4 linked regions of the Coturnix japonica genome follow. The protein of the gene in region 3 interacts with the protein of the main gene of each other region in a biochemical or structural test. Links are inferred from orthologs where the notes say so. Each region holds a gene or a part of one and is shown on either strand. Other genes may lie near its edges. The genes, in order: AXIN1, TNKS1BP1, TNKS and RNF146.

Region 1 (4,093 bases), on a different chromosome or scaffold from region 3:
TTCGCCAACTCCACCCTACCTGAAATGGGCCGAGTCGCTGCACTCCTTGCTCGATGATCAAGACGGTATCAATCTCTTCAGGACTTTCCTGAAACAGGAGGACTGTGCGGATCTGCTGGACTTCTGGTTTGCCTGCAGTGGCTTCAGGAAGCTGGAGCCCTGCGTGTCCAATGAGGAAAAAAGACTCAAACTGGCAAAAGCCATTTACAAAAAGTACATTCTCGACAACAACGGCATTGTGTCCCGGCAGATCAAACCAGCCACAAAAAGCTTCATAAAAGACTGTGTCATGAAACTGCAGATTGACCCTGACATGTTTGACCAGGCCCAAACTGAGATTCAATGCATGATAGAAGACAATACCTACCCTTTGTTCCTTAAGTCGGATATTTATTTGGAATACACAAGGACAGGTGGGGAAAGTCCTAAAATTTACAGCGATCCGAGCTCAGGGTCTGGGACAGGTAAAGGGCTGCCTGGTTATCTGCCTACTCTGAATGAGGACGAGGAGTGGAAATGTGACCAAGACACCGAGCCTGAGGCCAGCAGGGACTCGGCGCCCTCAAGCAGGCTCACCCAGAAGCTGCTTTTGGAGACTGCAACCCAACGTGCCACCTCGACCCGGCGGTACAGCGAGGGCAGGGAGTTCAGGTATGTGAGTGTCCCAGCTGGGCCCTTCTTTGGGGGCCTCCAGGTGCCCCTGGGGGCTGCTGTGAGATTGGAGTTGCTGGGAAGCGGGGGATGTTTGACAGCTGGAAGTGCTTGGGGCTGGTCGAGCATCAGCATGGGACAGTGTCGCATGGGTGTTATGCTGAAACACAGCTTTACTTGAATGTAGTGAGTTATTTGAAGGGTGTCTTTGGCTGTTCCTGTCCAGTTCCCCCAAATCACCTCTACGATCTGTTCTTTGCTGTGAGGAAATGCTGCTGAACGTGGTCTGGGTGTAGGTAGGAGGCAGTGGACGGTGCAGAGCTGTGGGCAGCCCCAGTCTGCACAGAGCGAGCAGAGAGCTGTGGTGTCAGGCTGGCCTGTAGCCTGCAGTGACGGAAGGTCAGTGTTCAGTTACATGAGTGCAGATGAGTACAGCTCGTGGTAAAACCCCTTGTAAATATACAAGGAAATGGTGATGAGCCACAACTAGAGGCTGCAGGAAGCTTGCGGGAAATACCCTAACGTCTGTAATGTGTATATGGGTCAAATGGGGTTCATGATGCTCCCTGTAAGTGCTATTGCTTTGCAGTCAAGCTTTCTGATAGTGGATTCCAGCCAAACCCAGTTAAAATTATTCTGTGTTGCAGCTTTTCCCCTCATCGCAATATTTGATTTTCTGCTCTAGAGGAGTTGCCCAGTTTTTCAGCCTGTGCTTTTCTTTTGGTCCCCCACCCATTTCCAACCAACACGCGTTTTGAAACTTGCTGAGAGCTCAGTTAAAATTCCAGACAATTAACTTAGCAGGGAGTTCTCTGGGATCAATAAGCGCGTGTGTGTGTAACCCCTGCTGAATCAACACAACGCAGCCAGACACACATTCCTCCTCCTTTAAAATAAAATCTCCTTGTTTTAAGACCTGCTTCAGATGAGATCTGTCACTCTCTGATGGTTACGAAATGAAGTAGCTGAACTGTCCTCATGGAAGCTGCATTTCTGTGCTTCCTCTCCCCACACCATCCCTTTATGCTGGCAGCTGGATGTGCATCCCACCCTTCACAAGGTCTCAGCGCCTTTTAGATAGCAAAGTGTTCTCATTTCGATTCCTGTTTTCAAACAGATTTTGAGGAGGGGGTTTTGCACGTGAAACTCAGGAAGAAAAACAAGAGGAATCGGTGTGAACTCGTGCTGTTTTAATCAGGAGTCTGAGAAACAGAACCCCTGAGTCCTGGGACTTTCTCATGGAGTTAATAAAAACCTTGAGTGTTTCTTGCAGTGGGTTTTCCCCCAGTGCTGGGTACTGACTGGATTGGACTAGAAAAGTCCACAATTGAAGTGTCTTTTTATGTAAGTAAGAATGGCTTATGACTGGCAATGACTTGCTCCAGTTGAGTTTAGTTTCTGTTCTAGAGCAGGTAGTGAAAACCTGCATGAAAGCTGCATTCTTCAGGTCCTGCTTCAGAAAAAGTGCTGTTTATGCATTACCTGAATGTGTTCGTGCCAAACTCTAAACGGTTCAGAAATACATTGTGAAATAGAAATATTTTGGGGTGGCGTTCCTCAACCTCGTGCATTTTCTGACTAGATTGGAACAGCCCAAAATAAGTCTTTACCTGGGGGATGGAGGTCAGGAGAAACGTGCTGCTGTTAATTTGTTGTGTCTGACAGCCTGTCATTGTGGCTGCAGACACTCCATTGACCTGCTGGGTCCGGAGGCAGGGATATGTTTACTGTTCTCACCAGAGCAGGAGTCATTTTGGAGCCTGGAGTAAGTAACTGAAAATGAGTGATGATTTATTTGAAGTGCTGGTCTGTCGGCCGCTGTAATGTCCGGAGCATCTCCATGGAAGATGGGTGCTGCTCAGTAGGGTGATCTATGCATTTTGTTCTGCTGAGATCCTAATTTAGGAGTCTGATTGTTGGTCTCTGTGCAAGCCTTTGTGGCTGAAATAGCTTGCTTCCTGAACACTGCATCGAAATAGCTGCCTCCAACAGACTGCTTTTCAAACAGCGGCATCTTAACGTGCAAACATTTCTGCTTTCTCCTGCCTTGGAAGCTGGTGGAGCTGCGTGCAGCAGGGAGCGATCCTTGTGCCATGGTTGGAAGGCTGAGTCTGTCCTGATTTGGTTTGAATGTTTCTACAGGCTTCTTTTTTTTTTCCTTTGTGGAAGAATCTCTCGTCTCTGTTGTTGAGGGAATGTTGCAATAAGCTGTTTTGCGTTAGAGCTGAAGGCCTGTTTAATCTTCACAAGATTTAACGTCTATTCCTTGGCTTCCATGGAAACTCTAAATAAAGAGGAATCCGACCAGATGCGATAGGAACGTGTCTCTGGTAGCCTAGGGAGCATCTTGAATCGGCTCCAATTCTTTTTGCAGCAGCAGGTTTGTAAATCTTAGTGCCTTATTTCTGTGCCCACGAGTGCAAAAGGCAATGCACTGTTAGTGCTGGGCAAGTGTGCCAGTGTGCGTGTATGTGGGAATATCCCAAAGCAAAAAGCACTGCTGTTACCCACTGCGTCTTTATACGTGTAGGAAAAGGCCAATAGTCATTATAGTTAGGCTCCTGCAAATTAATTGGACATTGGTTATGGATCAGTGAACTTCAAAGGGGGCAACCCCTGAAGATCTCAGGCATTAACTCTCAGCTTCCGAAACCGACACTAACGTGGTTGTGAGCGCAGCTAAATCTTTCATTAACCTTCTTTTGACACACCAGGACTGGGGTTTTCAGATATGAGGAGCAGAAATTACAGCCGTGCCTTAGAACTGCCCTGCAGCCCCGTGTTCGAGCACTCCTGCAAAACAGATGGGTCCCTTCTGTCATCTCTTCAGCTCTGCATCAGGAGGGTTTCCCCATCCCCTCCCAGGGCTTTGGGGAGCAGCACTCGCAAGCTCTGCCTTTGCTTTCCATGGTGGAAATGGAGCAGCTCTCCCCAGGACACTGCTTGTTCTTCATAACAGGGTGCTGAGCAAGAGGAGCAGCAGCTGTAGCGGGATGCAACACCTCTAGTCAGAGACTCATCCCAAACCTCAGTGAGTAATGCTGCATTGCAAGAGAGATGAGCAGCAGGGCCTGGTTCAGGTGTGGGATCTCTGCTGTGTGGATTACATCAGCAGGTTGACAGTCACAGGTTTGGCCTGCATCAGGAAGGAGCTGAAATTTAGCTGGCAGACTTGATTTTGAGGCTTGCTGCTTCATTAACAATTAAATATTAAATTGCACACTTCTAAGTGAAAACGATGCGGTGAAGGAGTTGGAGTTAATTGTGCTGAGTGAGCAGAAGGCTGGAGATGTGCAGTCACAGCAGTTGGTGCAGAACAGTCTGCATTCAGGCTGTTCCATGTTTGCATTGCTGTCTTACCAGCGCTGCCTTGAGCTGAAGAATCAGCACATGTGTCTGTGAGCTGAGCCACTGGAGCTTCAGGAGGGACCATTTGCTTTAT
Region 2 (4,735 bases), on a different chromosome or scaffold from region 3:
ATTAAGACTTTAGTGTGTGGGGTATTTCAAGTCTTGGTTCTTTCCACTTCCTGCTTTCCAGAGCAAGAAAGGCAAAGACCCCAACGCGCCCAAGAGACCCATGTCAGCTTACATGCTTTGGTTGAATGCCAACCGTGAGAAGATCAAGTCAGACCATCCTGGTATCAGCATCACAGACTTGTCCAAGAAGGCTGGGGAGCTCTGGAAAGCCATGTCTAAGGAGAAGAAAGAGGTGGGTTGCTCTTCCAGTGTGGATTGCTAAGCCGTATGTAGGAAGGGAAGGTGGATGTCAGGATGCTCTTGCTTGGTCTCGGGATCCTGCTGCTCCATTAACGGATCAGGAAGGGAGGGTGGCAGTGGGGAGCTGACATCTCAGCTGGTGTGTGAGTAAGGTCTCCAGGTGGTCAGGGACATGGGTGGAGATCGTGTTGGACTCTGGTGGTGCAGATGCTCATGATGGTGGATGGTGTGGGAACAAAGTGCCACTTAACCTGCTTTTGCTGCAGGAATGGGATCGCAAGGCAGAAGATGCCAAGAGGGATTATGAGAAGGCCATGAAAGAGTACAGCGTGGGCAATAAGTCAGAGAGCTCCAAGATGTGAGTATGCTGAGCAGACAAGAGGGATGTGGCAGGGCTTCACTGTTCTGGAATCTGTCTGTCCTCAGCTGCTGTGGTGGCTGGGCCTCTCTGAGGCTGGGGGATTGTGAGATGGGACCAGTGAGCTGTCAGCAAGGTAATGCTTCTGTCTCTTCCACCCTGCCAACACACACACAGGGAGAGGTCTAAAAAGAAGAAGAAGAAGCAGGAGAAACAGATGAAGGGGAAAGGGGAGAAGAAGGGTGCTGCCTCCAAGTCTTCGTCCTCCACCAAGAGTTCTGCCAAGAGTATGAGTGAGAGCTTCAAGAGCAAGGAATTTGTCTCCAGCGACGAGAGCTCCTCTGCAGAGAGCAAGAAGGAGGTAGTAGGGCGGTTTGGTGGTGGGATTTGCTGGGTCTTATTTTACCTCATCCCTACAGGCATATATTCTTCCAGATAGCATGTACATCCAGTCTTGTAGCAGAGGACTGAGTTTGGTCTTTGCTATTGGCAGAGGAGCAGGTGAACATGAGCTGCTCTGCTTCTACTGTCCTGACTTCCCATTTCTTCCCACAGGACTCAGAGGATGAGAGAGGCGCCAGCCCGGCCCAAAGCTCAGAGGATTCCGGATCCGGCTCGGATTAGTTCTGTCCCCGCTGGCTCCAGGCTGGTTCCCAGATCAGCGTGAGGACTGGGTGGGCCGGCCCGCAGGAGGGGTCTGGCTCTTGGGCTCTGGCTGGCTCCGAACCTGCCTGGCCGCCCTTCCTCCTACCTCTGCTGCCAGGTGAGGGGAGGCACCGGAGTGGGGACAGGAGGGTGCCCAGCTTCACTGCTTGAGCCCTTTCCCCTCAGTGCCTGGCTACAGAGTGAAGCCCCACAGAGGGGAGGCCCAGGAAGGAGCCTCGATCCCACTTCTGCCCTGTTTCTCATCAATTTATTTTTTTTAAATACTCGGGTTTGTTTCGGTCTCTTATTTTTTTCCTTTTTGTATGTTGGGTCAGTTCACATGGCAACTCGAATTGAATAAAAAACACCCGCGGCGGGACTGCAGTGTGGGTGTGGAGGTGGGGGTGGGCCGGGCTCCTCTTCCCCAGGGGCACACGGTGCTGGGATGCCTTCCTTCTAACATCGCCTTTCTCCCGGCATCGCCTCGGCCTCCTTGAACCGCAGCCAGGGGCTGAGCTCACTCACAGCCCATCCATTAGCAGCCGGAGCCCCTTCCTGCGGCCTCCCTAATCCTGTTAGTCTCCATCAGCCTCCTAATGGAGGGCCGGCGGTCGATCCCGATGCCGTGCGGATGTTCTCTGTGCCCTGGAGGGCCGCACCGTGCCTGGGGGTGGTGGTGGTGATAGTCATTTCATCAGCGTTCCTGCTTGACCCCGGCATGGCGGCCTGGCTGCGAGTCAAAGGCTGCAGGGGAACGGGCTCGGGGAGACGGGGCTCGGCCTGGCCGCCCCCTCTGTAGGTCACAGCCGGTTTGTGGGGCCGCCGCACCCCGGGGTTCCCCTCTACCGCCCTCTCACACTCAGGCCCCGCACAGCCCGTGCTCTATGGCCGCTGGAGGTGCCACGCGGCGCCGCTCTAGTTCTCCGCTCTCTCTGCTCGGCCACGTGGGGTGGGCGCGGCCCGAGTGGGGGCGCGGTGGGTGGGGAGGGGGCGAGGCCATCGCTCATGAATATGCAGCGGCGGCGGCGGCGGCGGGTGAGCGCGGGCAGGGCGAGGGGTCACGGCGGGAGCGCGGCGTGGGTACGGTACCGGAACGGGGGAGGGGCGGCGGGCAGCTGGGTGGGGTTATCTGGGCACGAGGGTGGCGATGGGGTCGGGGTCCTTGAGGCCGTTCAGCCCGTCGTGCCCGGCGGGGCCGAGGCTCGGGCTGCGAAGGACACAACGGGCCGCCCGGCCCTTCGTGCGGCCCCTCCTCGCCGATGGAGCGGGGGGCTCCGTTTCCATGGCGGCGCTCCCGGGCCCGCCCGGCCACTCGAGCGGGGGCTGCGTTACCGTGACAACGCGGGCAGGCCCCGGAGGATGGGAGGGGGGAGGGGGCACCCCTGTCTCCCTTCCCCCTTCCAGCCCCGTTCCACACCTCCCCCCCCCGCCCCGCTTCCCTTCGCCTCGTCACCGAGCGGGGCCTCGTCAGCATCCCGGGGCTGCCAAGGGGTTGGGAAACAGCCTCGGCGGGGGGAGGAGGGGCGGGAGGGGGGGGACGATGGCTTCCAGATGTGCCCCCTCCGGTTCCGTTTGGCCGGGGTGGGGGGAGCCCGAAGAGAGAAGGGGCCCGAGGGGAGAGGGGGGGGGAAAGGGGGGACCCCGCATCGCGAGTGGGAAGGAGGGAGCGGGGAGGAGGCGAGGGGAAGGCAGGGCAGGGCAGGGCCGCGAGGAGGAGGAGGCACGAGCGAGTTTTTCCTGTCCCCGCAGCGCCAGTGAGTCACGGGGAGCCGTGCGGCCACGCCAAACCGGGCCTGGGCATCGCGGCCCGCTCCCCTCCAGCCCCAGACCCGGCCATGAGGCGACCGAGGGGCAGGTGAGGGGGGGGCGACCCTATAGGGCCCGACGGGGCTGGGGATCGGGACGTGGGAGCGGTATGGGCTGACGTGGTGTGCGGAGCACTTCCGTGAGGGAACGGGCAGCGGGTGGGGGGGCTGCCCCAGGTGTAGGATGGGGGGTCGGTGCGGGTGGACGAGGGGCTGGCACCGCACACAGAAGGCAGCCCAGGTGAACAGGGCTGGGGTGCACATATTTACTGAGGTGTGCAAGGGACTGGCACGGTGTGCTCTATGGTTGGGTGCTGCCGGCGGGTTGGGGCAGTGTACAAAGGGTGGTACGGCCGAACGGAGGCTTGGCGGTGAGATAGTGGGTTGGCACGGTGTGCTGCACTGGTATAAGAGAGTGGGAAGCCAGCAGCACAATGCAACATGCTGCAGGTACAGCAGGGACCGGGGGCACCAGGGTGAATGGGGCAGCAGGCCCCAGTGGACAGGGTGGACTAAGGTTCTTCCGTGACGTTTCTCCCCTCTCTCTTCTGCAGGGGCTGACTGCACGCTGAGTCTGCTGAGCATTAGCTCCGGCTTCACCATGGCCTCCCAGCCCCAGTCCCTGCACCCCCCACTGCCCTGTGCCTCCGGGGGGACCGGACTGGCGGCTGGCAGCTCTGAGAAAGGTGAGAATCTCCCTGAATGGCTTATATGTGTTTTTAACCCAGAGTGAGATGTCTGCAGGTGTTGTTGTGTTCTCCAACTCCCCATGTTTCTCCTCGTCTTTCTCCCACAGGCAGTCCTCGCCCCAAGCCTCCTGTCCGGCCCAAGCCCCGTGTGCTGCCCAAGCCAGCCGTGCCTGCCAAACCCTGCCTGCCTCACCCCCCACCAGCACCACGGCATTCTCGTCCTGAGCTGCCCTCCGCAGAGAAGATAAACCGCCTGGCAGGCCCCCAGCCGTACAGTGGGGGTGGCTCTGGGGTGGCCCTCAGACGCCCCTCTTTCACCATCAAGTCACCTGAGACCCTCAACGGGAAGGGGCTCCCATCCCCACCAGTTTTCACTCCTGAGGACTCGTGTTCAACCCCCAGTGATGAGGTGCCCCCGGCCCCATCGACGCCTTCCCGCAAAGGTCCAGCTCCCTTTAAGGTGACACCAGTGCCTGTGGCAACCAAGCTGGAGCGATTTCCAGGCACCACCGTGGAGGAGATTCTGGCCAAAATGGACAGCAAGGAGGGAAGCCCTGACCGGGCCCGCATCTCTCCCTTTTGCTCCGATTCTTCTTCTCGCTTTGGCTCCAAGATCTTCACCGCCTTCCGGAGACGCCCTAGTGGGGAGGCAGATGGAGACTCCCCTGGTGAAGCCCGCCAGCTGCTCCAGCAGGCTGAGGGAGAGCTGGGGACAGGGGGTGACAGATGCCCGATGGTTGAGATGAGGTGAGGGGCAGAGGATCGGTCCCAGGGACAGGGAACCATGGGGAAAGCATCGGTGGGCAGTTAGAGATGGAACTAAATGGAGCTGGAAGGGACCTGAGGTCTGGTCGCCAGTACAAGGCTGTTGTTCCTCCTAACCAACAGTGCCTTGAGCCGCCTTCGTGGGAAGGCTTGGTCACCCGCGACAACTCTGGTGGTTTATTAAAACCACAAGAATGGGCCGGCCCAGCTGAGGAACTGCCTCCACGCTTGCA
Region 3 (4,093 bases):
TTTTGTCTTAACCATAGTCCTGGTTAACTACTAGAAAACTTCTCCAAGAAAGTGTATTGAAGGGCTGCAGTGTGGAGACAGTACAAATCCCTGCAGAGTAGCCAGTCTGCAGCTTGGCTGAAGGCCCAGTGTCATGTCATAGCATTAACCATTAGTGATTAAGCCAGTGAGGATGCAAGCAGCTGTGTCTGGTCCAGACATCTTGCCATATGGACTGTGGCAGGGGTAAAGCATGTTAATTCTGCGTTGGAAGTCTGCACAGTTGTATCTGGTGTCGTGCTGTGGCTAAAAAGGGGCTGAACACATTGAAATGGAGCTCCTGGCCAGGGGTTACTTCTCTGAGGTAAGGAAAACATCTGAGAAGTCCTCATACGTGAAGTACTGCCTGTCACAGAGGGTGCTGGCTGCTGGAAATCATTTGTCACCACTTTAGCAGCATGACACTGCAGCTGAGTTGTATGTTCGTCTCGGAGAGCTGACAGCTTCTTCCTTGCATCCTTTAAGTGTTATGTATTAATTTCTCTTCTGGAAAAATAATAATGTCTTCTGTATTTAGTCTCTGGCCTGTGCATGGAGTTAATAATGTAATTGGTATTTGTGCCCTGGAGTAAGAGTGAACAGCTTGTTTTAAATATTGTCATTTTTCTTTTTGCAAAGCATTTTAACAGCAGTGTGTTCTCTTACAGGGTTTGGAAGGAAAGATGTTGTAGAGCACTTGCTACAGACAGGAGCCAACGTTCATGCTCGTGATGACGGAGGGCTGATACCCCTTCACAACGCCTGCTCCTTTGGTCATGCTGAAGTGGTTAGCCTGTTACTGTGCCAAGGTGCAGACCCTAATGCTAGAGACAATTGGAACTACACTCCTTTGCACGAGGCTGCTATCAAGGGGAAGATAGATGTGTGTATTGGTAAGTCTCTGTCACTTATTGTAACTTCACCAGATGTGTATTTTGTGCGCTTACAATTTAAACCATTGTGTAGGTATAGTGACAGTCATTCAGGACTAACTTTTTCATGTTGTGCAGTTCAACCTTTGCTGAACTTGCATCTGGAAAATGAATATAGAGCAGGTTCGTCAAATCTCCTGCTAAATTAGGGCCTTCAAAACCTGAATGTGGAAGTCTCCCTGCACTCTGCTAAATGTCTTTGCTTTTAAGGCTGCTCAGAATGTTGGGTTAGTGCTTAGAAAGATGGTTAACCTTTTATTCTGTACAATATGGAGTAATGTTTGTCCTTTGCAGCTTTCAAATACAAGTTGCAGGACACCACCGCTTACAGTGGTTATATATCTTCAGTGTGTGCTGTAGCCTGGAGCAAAAGCAATTTCAAATAAAATTGAACACTTCAATCATTTTAAATGCACCCAGACCGTATAAGGGGCTTTTCAGCAAGATGTCGTTAACTTTTATGGTGTTTTTTCCCCTCAAAGTATTTAGTGTTACTTCCTTTTTTCATAAAATGTCTTAAGTTGGAAAGGAGCTTAAGACCCATACAGTTCTGACCCCCTGCTTTGGATTAGGCTTCCCAGGGCCCCGTTCATCCTGGCCTTGAATGCCACCAAGGAAGGGGTATCACAGTGTCTCTTGGACAGCTAGTGTCTGACCATCCTCAGAATCTGTTTCTTTTTTGCATTGAGTTTGTTTACATTTTATACTTAGTGGGTCAACTAGTTGGCATGATCCTGTTTCTCCTTAATGGCTTTATATATATATATTTATATTAAGGTCTTCAGCCTTTATCTCAAAAGACCCTGTGAAGGAACAGAGTATGTACAAAGATAATGAACAATGATTGCTTAGGGCATGAATACTAGGACTGAATACTTGAATAGCTTCGTGGAATATGTTGTACAGTAATACTATTTACGCCTGAAATGTAGACTGTTAGAATTGATATAAAGGAGGAAATTGGCCTGCTGAAATCACATTCTTAATGTTTCTTTTTAAAACAAGTGAGGTCTGCTTTTTAAAAAGCCTTTAATTGAAGAATATTCTCTGGAAATCCCAGTGTAATGTGGGATTTATTGCTGAACTTAAGTATCTGCCTGAAAAGCAGTAGACTCCATAGGAATTAATTATCTAACCATATCTTTGTCTATCTCTAGGCACCTTCCAAGTGATGCAGTGGGATAATTTGTGCAATTTATTTTCTCACCTTTACTCTTTCTGTGTCACCTTATTCTACATCTGTTCTTTATCATTCCCTAGCATAGAATACTGTTCTCTTGGCCACTTTTACAGGTCAAAAAGGGATAAAGTGATAACTGAACAGAGTGCAAAGCTGTGGCACGTTCACGAATAGCAACAGGGAAAACTCAATGTTCTGAAGTGGTTGGAAGACCAACAGAGGCTAGATGATGATTGCAGTAGGATTGTAGAATTTGCTTTTGACTAGCACTAGCCTTGCAAGAGTATGTATGTGTTTGCACTGAAAGTACTATTAAACTCAGCTTTACAAGCTGAAGTTAAACTGTTGCCTGTGAGCTCTGCCACTTGGAAGCTTGTGTAGTAATGGGAAATGTCATAAACTGGTTAAAACTTGAAGTATGTACAGGCTTCTCTGGAATCTAAACTGGAAGAGAGCAAATGACAGTGATATGTGGTTTCTTGTGCTTCTGGTGTTGATTTAATATTAGACTCATAGAATCATTGAGGTTGGAAAAGACTCTTAAGATCATGAAGTCTAACCATAGTACCGTAACTCTAACAACCCTCTGGTAAATCATATCCCTGAGCACCACATCCAAACGGCTCTTAAACACATCCAGGGACGGTGACTCAAGCACCTCCCTGAGGAGCCTATTCCAGTACTTGACTATCCTTTCTGTAAAGAAGTGTTTCCTAACTCTTAACTTATCTGTGGGTTTTAGACTTCCCCAGTTGGTTTTCTCCATTTTCCTAAAATTCAGCAATCAAGAGAAGGAGTCTCTTCCTCATTATTCTGCTGGGTACAAGACAATCTATGGAGGACAATAAACCACTTTACTTATTTTGTGATACTTCTTTACAAATAATGTTTACAAATAATTGAAGTCTGGTTACTTGCATCAAAGAGTACAGTACAGTAATGTCCAAAACTTATTTTGTATCTGTATGAAGTAAGGTCTTCTAATATTAACTTTTAGCAAACAGAGGGAAGGAAGGTGGAAGAAAGAAGCAACTTCATATTACAGGGATTGTTTAATGGAGCTGATGCTGCTCTTGCAGGCACTAACTGCTTGATTTCAGGTGTCTGCTACCAGCTTTCTAAATACTGTGCAGAAATACTTAGTTTTATGGGATTATACTTCAGATTACTGTAGCACTCTCTGCTTTTAACTTCTCAGTGGAGCCACGCAGTCTTAATGCAGTTCGTATGTGGTTTGAAAACAGTCTCTAGGTAAATGTGTAGCTGTTAAGCTGTAGAAGTGGCCTGGTCCAGCAGAGCTCCTGGATCTCTTCCAAATCTAATGGAAAGCATGGATTAAAGTATGGCTATAGAATATAAAGGGTTTTGCTTGTAAAATGTGTGGGTAGTTAAATACTTGTCATGTAATAAACAATGGCAGCTGCCTTGCTTTATGCTGGGGAAAAAGCAAATCTTTAAAGCAAGTTCAGAAAATGCATTTTGTGTGATTGAAACCTACTGAAAATACTGAGTGATTGCCTCATGTTCTGTTATTTGCTTTAGTCTTTCATGCAGTTAATACTCATGCTGACTGTAGATTCCTGTGCTGCAGTAAATCCTTATTTTTCCACACTTAAACAAACATACCGTGTTTCTTACATAATGCTGTTCCTTTACGGGAAAGACTGAGGTGTCTGATGTGAATCCTGCTGTTTGTGCTGCTGTGTATCCTTTATGGTTTGGTATGATACAGTGTCTAAGCAGGCAGAGCAATTCCTTGATTAGGCAGCATGCCCTTGTCTTCACTGTGATCACTGAGTACTGAACTTCCATCCTCATTATTTAAGATGAGGCAAGTCAGTTGTATTACTGATGTCCTTAAAGTGATCACTCACTGACCCTACAGTAATTACTGTATTTCTTTTGCTGCTGCAAATAGCAAAGCTTAAAAGCTAGAATTTCAAACGATGAGAGAGGAAGCCAA
Region 4 (4,634 bases), on a different chromosome or scaffold from region 3:
TACCCCAGCCAGCCTTTGGTGATGGCAACAACATATCACTTTAATGAAAATGTTAGAGCCGCGTGGGGGGAGCTCTACAACAGCTGAGAGGATAGGAACACAGTGAGCTACAAGCAACAGGGTTTCATGGAACAAATGTGTCATCAAAACACTGTCAGGATATTTGCTTTTAATGTTTTCACTTTGGAACTCACTCCTCAGCCCCTCCTCTGGCTGCCCGCACAGAGGAACCAGGGGCACACTTGTCACTCTAGTGCCATATTGGTGGATTCACAACTTCTCATTCTGTTCAGAGGGGTGGCTGAAGTTGTAGGTGTGAGGAAAAGGGGAAACGATTCCATATCCTATCCCATTTATGCCCCACCCCTGGAGGTGCTCAAGGACAGGTTGGATGGGGCCATTGGACAGCCTGATCTGGTGGGTGGCAGCACTGCCCATGGCAGGGGGCTGTGATTGTGTGGGTTTTGAGGTCTCTTCCATCCCACGCCATTGTGTGATTCTGTGATTCACAAATCACCTACTCTTTTGCTTCTATTGTGACCTGGAGAAGCTTGGAGCTTCTCCAAAATCTATTTTGATACAGACTCAAGCCACAGCAGGAGACTGTTTTCTCCTATCTTCCCCCAGCTATGTCACAAGCAGGGGTTGAGCTCATAGTATACCTGCATGTCTCCAAGGGTTTACATAGTATCATACACATCTAAAGAAGCAGAAGAAAGGTCTTTATAAATAGAAGGACTGAAACATGATTAATAGCTCTCAGTTGCCAAAGCATCAGCAGAATATTAATAGTGGGGGTGCAGACTCTTGCCAGGGGAGGAGGTGTCTTCTCAGGACTAGTCTGGTGAATCTTTACTTTTCAAGCCGCTGTGCACATTAAAAATGTAGTGGCAAGTATCAGACATGAATTCCAGATTGACGACGCTGTAGGCAATGGTAACAAAGAGAAACAAAGGAGGGCACGGAGCTACGAAGGAAGCAGAGGCAGACAGAGTGGTGGTGCTTTCAGTTGCAATAGACAGGTACAGCTAATGCACGTTAAGGAAACCACTGCTGGACGTGGGGCGATGTGCTGCAGGAGCCAGCACAAAGATGCGAACACAACATGCATTTAGACTGAAATTAAAGCTGGCAATGAAGGCCGATGTTATTGCAGGTACCATTCTTCGGTTACCAGCTTCGGCACAACCTGATATTGCCTTTAACCATTTCTTCACCGAGCGTAAAATGAAACCATACGTTCACTACTGCATTTTCTCGGTCGAACTAAACTGTCAGACCCCGGAACACAGACGCGGGTTTATTTATTACTGAGAACACTTCATTCAGGGTGCTTTATTTTCCTGTAATCTCCGTTCGACGGAGACACCGAACCCCCAAAAGCGGATGGTGCGCTCCAGGCCCCGTCGCCATGGCGGCATCACGAGCGCGGGGTGTGGCGGCGCGGCACCATGGCGTCACCCGAGCGCGGCCCCCAGCGGCGGAGCCGGTTGTGGCTCCTCCCGATCCGCGGCGTCACGGTGGCGCGGCCTCCCCCGCTCTGCTCCGGCCGTGACGTCGGAGCGTCCCGCGGAGGCGGCGGCAGGTGGCGGCGGAGCGGCGCGAGCCGGCCCGGCCCGGCGGGTGAGTCCCGGCTTGGGTGGGCGGTCAGCGCTGACAGCGGCCGCCCCGGGATCGGGATCGGGGAGGGAGCCGAGGCCTGGCCGGGCGGTAGGCGCCGGCCCCAAACAAAAGGCCGGCGGGCGGAGCGGGCCTGCCGCGGCCCTGCGGCGGGCGAGGACCGGCGGGTGCCGCCCTCCTGTCCGCGCTGGAGCCCAAGTCCCGCGGCGTCGCTGTTCGCCATCGAGGGAGGAGGGAGGAGGCCGCGGCCCTGCGCGAAACACTGGGCCCGGCGGAGAGGGGAGGGCGGCGGGCCGGGTCTCGGCTGCTGTCCGCCCGCTGTCAGCGGCCGAGCCTCGCAGCCGGAGGGGGAGCGAGGGATGTCGGCGAGCACAACAGGAAGAGCGTGAGGAGCTGCGAGCGGTGCCGCCAGGTGCTTTTGTTTCCATGTGTCTGTGCTCGAGGTTTTTAATTGCATCCTTCGGGAGTGGTAAAGCGGGGCGGAAAAATAGGTCCTGCGCTTTGTGCTATATGTATTGTCACCGCTGACAAATGATTGCGAAATACTCGGTGAATACGAGGTTTTTCATGCTGTGGATGTCCGCTTTTTGCATGTGAAGAAACCCCAATTAAGGCGTCTTATTTCCGTCTTCGCATAACTTTTCTGCGACGTGAAGTAGAAATAGGGTAGAGCTTGTTGCTGGGAGCGCAGCGTGCAGGGGGTAATTAAAAGGGAGAATAGGGAGCGGAGCTCTAAAGTGTTCTGTCACATCGGTAGCGCTGAAGGTACAGCGCTGCGGCGTTGTTAGATGCTGCCTCTGGGCAGTGGGTTGCTTAAAAATAGGCCTTCAAGTGCCTCTGAAAACGCACAGCCAAAAGTGATCACTTGCGGTTGTACCGAAGGCACGGTAAAACCTGAATATTGATTTGGGTCACTTTGAGTAAATCTTAAATATTTTATGTTTGCGCAGAGTTGCTTTATAGCCCTGTGAGGTTTAACGCTGTGGCTTCTTTCCAAGCGAATCAAAGTACCGATTGTTTAAATGGCCGAGTGAAAGTTTTGTTCTTTTTGTTTCCTCTTAAATCCACCACATCCATGTAGATGTAATGGAATTGCCCAGAGAGATGAAGCTGCAGGACTTTTGAAGGCTGTCGAATAAGGTTTGGAAGGCTCTTGGTGTTGCTGGGGAAAAATCTTTCTTGGAATCGATGATTATTTTTTTTCCTCCTTCTGTGCATGTTAATTTATATGTCACAATGCTCCTGTACTTCATTTCTCTCTCAGAAGCAGCGATAGCTTCAGATGAGCCCATTTTTGCTTTGTTTTCCCACAGGAATTTTGTCAGTGCCCTCTTATTTGAGTGCGAAACTGAGGTTTTCCTCACTTAAGTCAAATGAAGTAGGACACGGGCTCCCAGTTATAGCACAGCAGAAGAAATTCAGTTTGAATAAATATGTAGCCATTCAGTATCAAAATGGTTGACTGTTCTGCACTTGACTGTTTTTCTGTAACTCGGACCCACACCAATATACAAGCTTCTTAAAATTAAAGTGTAGTAATGCTGTTTAAAGGAACGACAGGGAATTTGAAGCCTTATCACATCATTGATTTCTGAAAGTATTTTAAGAGAGAGAGAGGAGGCAGTGAGATTATTTACCTGCTGTGCTGTCCGATGCTTGCAGGCAGTTGCAAAAACACCAGACAGGTTCCATACCTTTAGCTAATACTGTACTTGTGACAGTAGGCCTCCAGATGGGAGATATATATATGCATATATATATATAATTATTATTTTTTCTCCCTTATGAAACAGAACACCACCAGCATAAAGCAACTACTACCATCCTTCCTTCCTTTACCAGCATTTGGCTCACGCTGTCCTATAGGGAAGAGTTCTGGGATCCTTTTTCCTCTGCTTCTACCTTCCCCCACCCTACTTCCTTAGTAACTGAGATATATGTTAGGGAGCCCGATGGTAACAGTCAAGTATTGAATCACAGAAGAACGTTTACCTTTGATCATTTCTTTTGTAGCGCTGCACCTGTTCAGTTTTCAGCCTCTGGCAGTCAACGAATGAGTTTGTGCTAACTGTTGTAAAGTGGTCTGTCTGGTGTTGCAGAACTTGTGCGATCACCTTTCATTTGAGGCAGGGTTTAAGTGATAGCCTTCAGCGAGTGAGAAGCTGGCTTTAGTTGAATTTACCAGTGGTGTTTTGTTTTCTTCTTTTCCTAAGAAGATAAACTTTTATTTACAAAAATTTCCTAGGGCCGTAAATAACAAACAGTGCACTTATATTTAGGATCTGGCTTCTTATGTTTCTGGAAATGTGTTTATTGTTGCTATTTTTCCTATCACTTGTGTCTCCAAAATAGTAGAAAAGTGAGAAAAATAATGCCCTGGCTATGATACGCTACTGGGAATTTGATAGGCAGCAGCTGACTGATCTGACAGGAGATGGTTTCACTTCATCTTGGCCAAGTGAAAGCTTGATGATTTTATCAAAGACCTCATGCCGTTTTTGGATGACGGGTGTCCTAGGAGGGACACTGCTTCAGCATCCTAACACGGTGTGGAAGAAGTTGGCACGAGGTTCCCTAGCAGGCGTCCTGACAGCCTGCCAAGGAAACAAGGGGTGGTTAACGCTGGCTGAGCCACAGTGTGGCACCAGTTGTTGCCCAGCTGGCGATGCCAAGTTTAAATTCCAATTCCCAGTGGGTCGGATTGTCCTTCATCTGTTGTGGGCTGAGTGTTTCAGAATCAGTGTGCAATAGTCCTCGTGGGCTTGGTGAGGAAGGGACACTCACAGGTTGCCACAGATAGCGTAATTCCTCATATGAGATGCTTTTCTAGCATAGGAAGTTAATTGCTAAGTGTAGAACATGGCTCTCAGCCACTTTACTTCAAAGGAGCAGGAGTCCAGGAAGGGGTGTGTGTGTGTGTAACCACAGATGTCTTTTATCCCGTTTAGTAAAATTTCTAGGACTGGCTTATTAAATAAATAACAATGTAATGAAGCACGGAGGTTACCTGAAGT

What was found.
Region 1: the proteins of TNKS (region 3) and AXIN1 form a complex in vitro, tested with the Homo sapiens proteins (2 studies listed by BioGRID). The link is inferred for Coturnix japonica from reciprocal best matches to the Homo sapiens genes TNKS and AXIN1.
Region 2: the proteins of TNKS (region 3) and TNKS1BP1 form a complex in vitro, tested with the Homo sapiens proteins (2 studies listed by BioGRID). The link is inferred for Coturnix japonica from reciprocal best matches to the Homo sapiens genes TNKS and TNKS1BP1.
Region 4: the proteins of TNKS (region 3) and RNF146 form a complex in vitro, tested with the Homo sapiens proteins (3 studies listed by BioGRID and IntAct, with this or other methods). The link is inferred for Coturnix japonica from reciprocal best matches to the Homo sapiens genes TNKS and RNF146.

Annotation. Positions count from the first base shown.
Region 1 is NC_029529.1:10,753,907-10,757,999, forward strand, and holds part of AXIN1 (axin-1), read left to right. Parts: coding exon 1-651; intron 652-4,093. UniProt on the Homo sapiens protein: Component of the beta-catenin destruction complex required for regulating CTNNB1 levels through phosphorylation and ubiquitination, and modulating Wnt-signaling.
Region 2 is NC_029520.1:7,745,858-7,750,592, reverse strand, and holds the start of TNKS1BP1 (182 kDa tankyrase-1-binding protein), read left to right. Parts: upstream 1-1,719; 5' UTR 1,720-2,278; exon of another isoform or gene 2,279-2,323; intron 2,324-2,628; exon of another isoform or gene 2,629-2,734; intron 2,735-2,992; 5' UTR 2,993-3,098; intron 3,099-3,602; 5' UTR 3,603-3,649; coding exon 3,650-3,734; intron 3,735-3,844; coding exon 3,845-4,484; intron 4,485-4,735. Other genes in the region: FACT complex subunit SSRP1, read left to right, coding at 62-232, 507-598, 776-959, 1,154-1,222.
Region 3 is NC_029519.1:44,121,552-44,125,644, reverse strand, and holds part of TNKS (poly [ADP-ribose] polymerase tankyrase-1), read left to right. Parts: intron 1-686; coding exon 687-911; intron 912-4,093.
Region 4 is NC_029518.1:53,756,869-53,761,502, reverse strand, and holds the start of RNF146 (E3 ubiquitin-protein ligase RNF146), read left to right. Parts: upstream 1-1,502; 5' UTR 1,503-1,623; intron 1,624-1,704; exon of another isoform or gene 1,705-2,032; intron 2,033-4,634. UniProt on the Homo sapiens protein: E3 ubiquitin-protein ligase that specifically binds poly-ADP-ribosylated (PARsylated) proteins and mediates their ubiquitination and subsequent degradation. May regulate many important biological processes, such as cell survival and DNA damage response.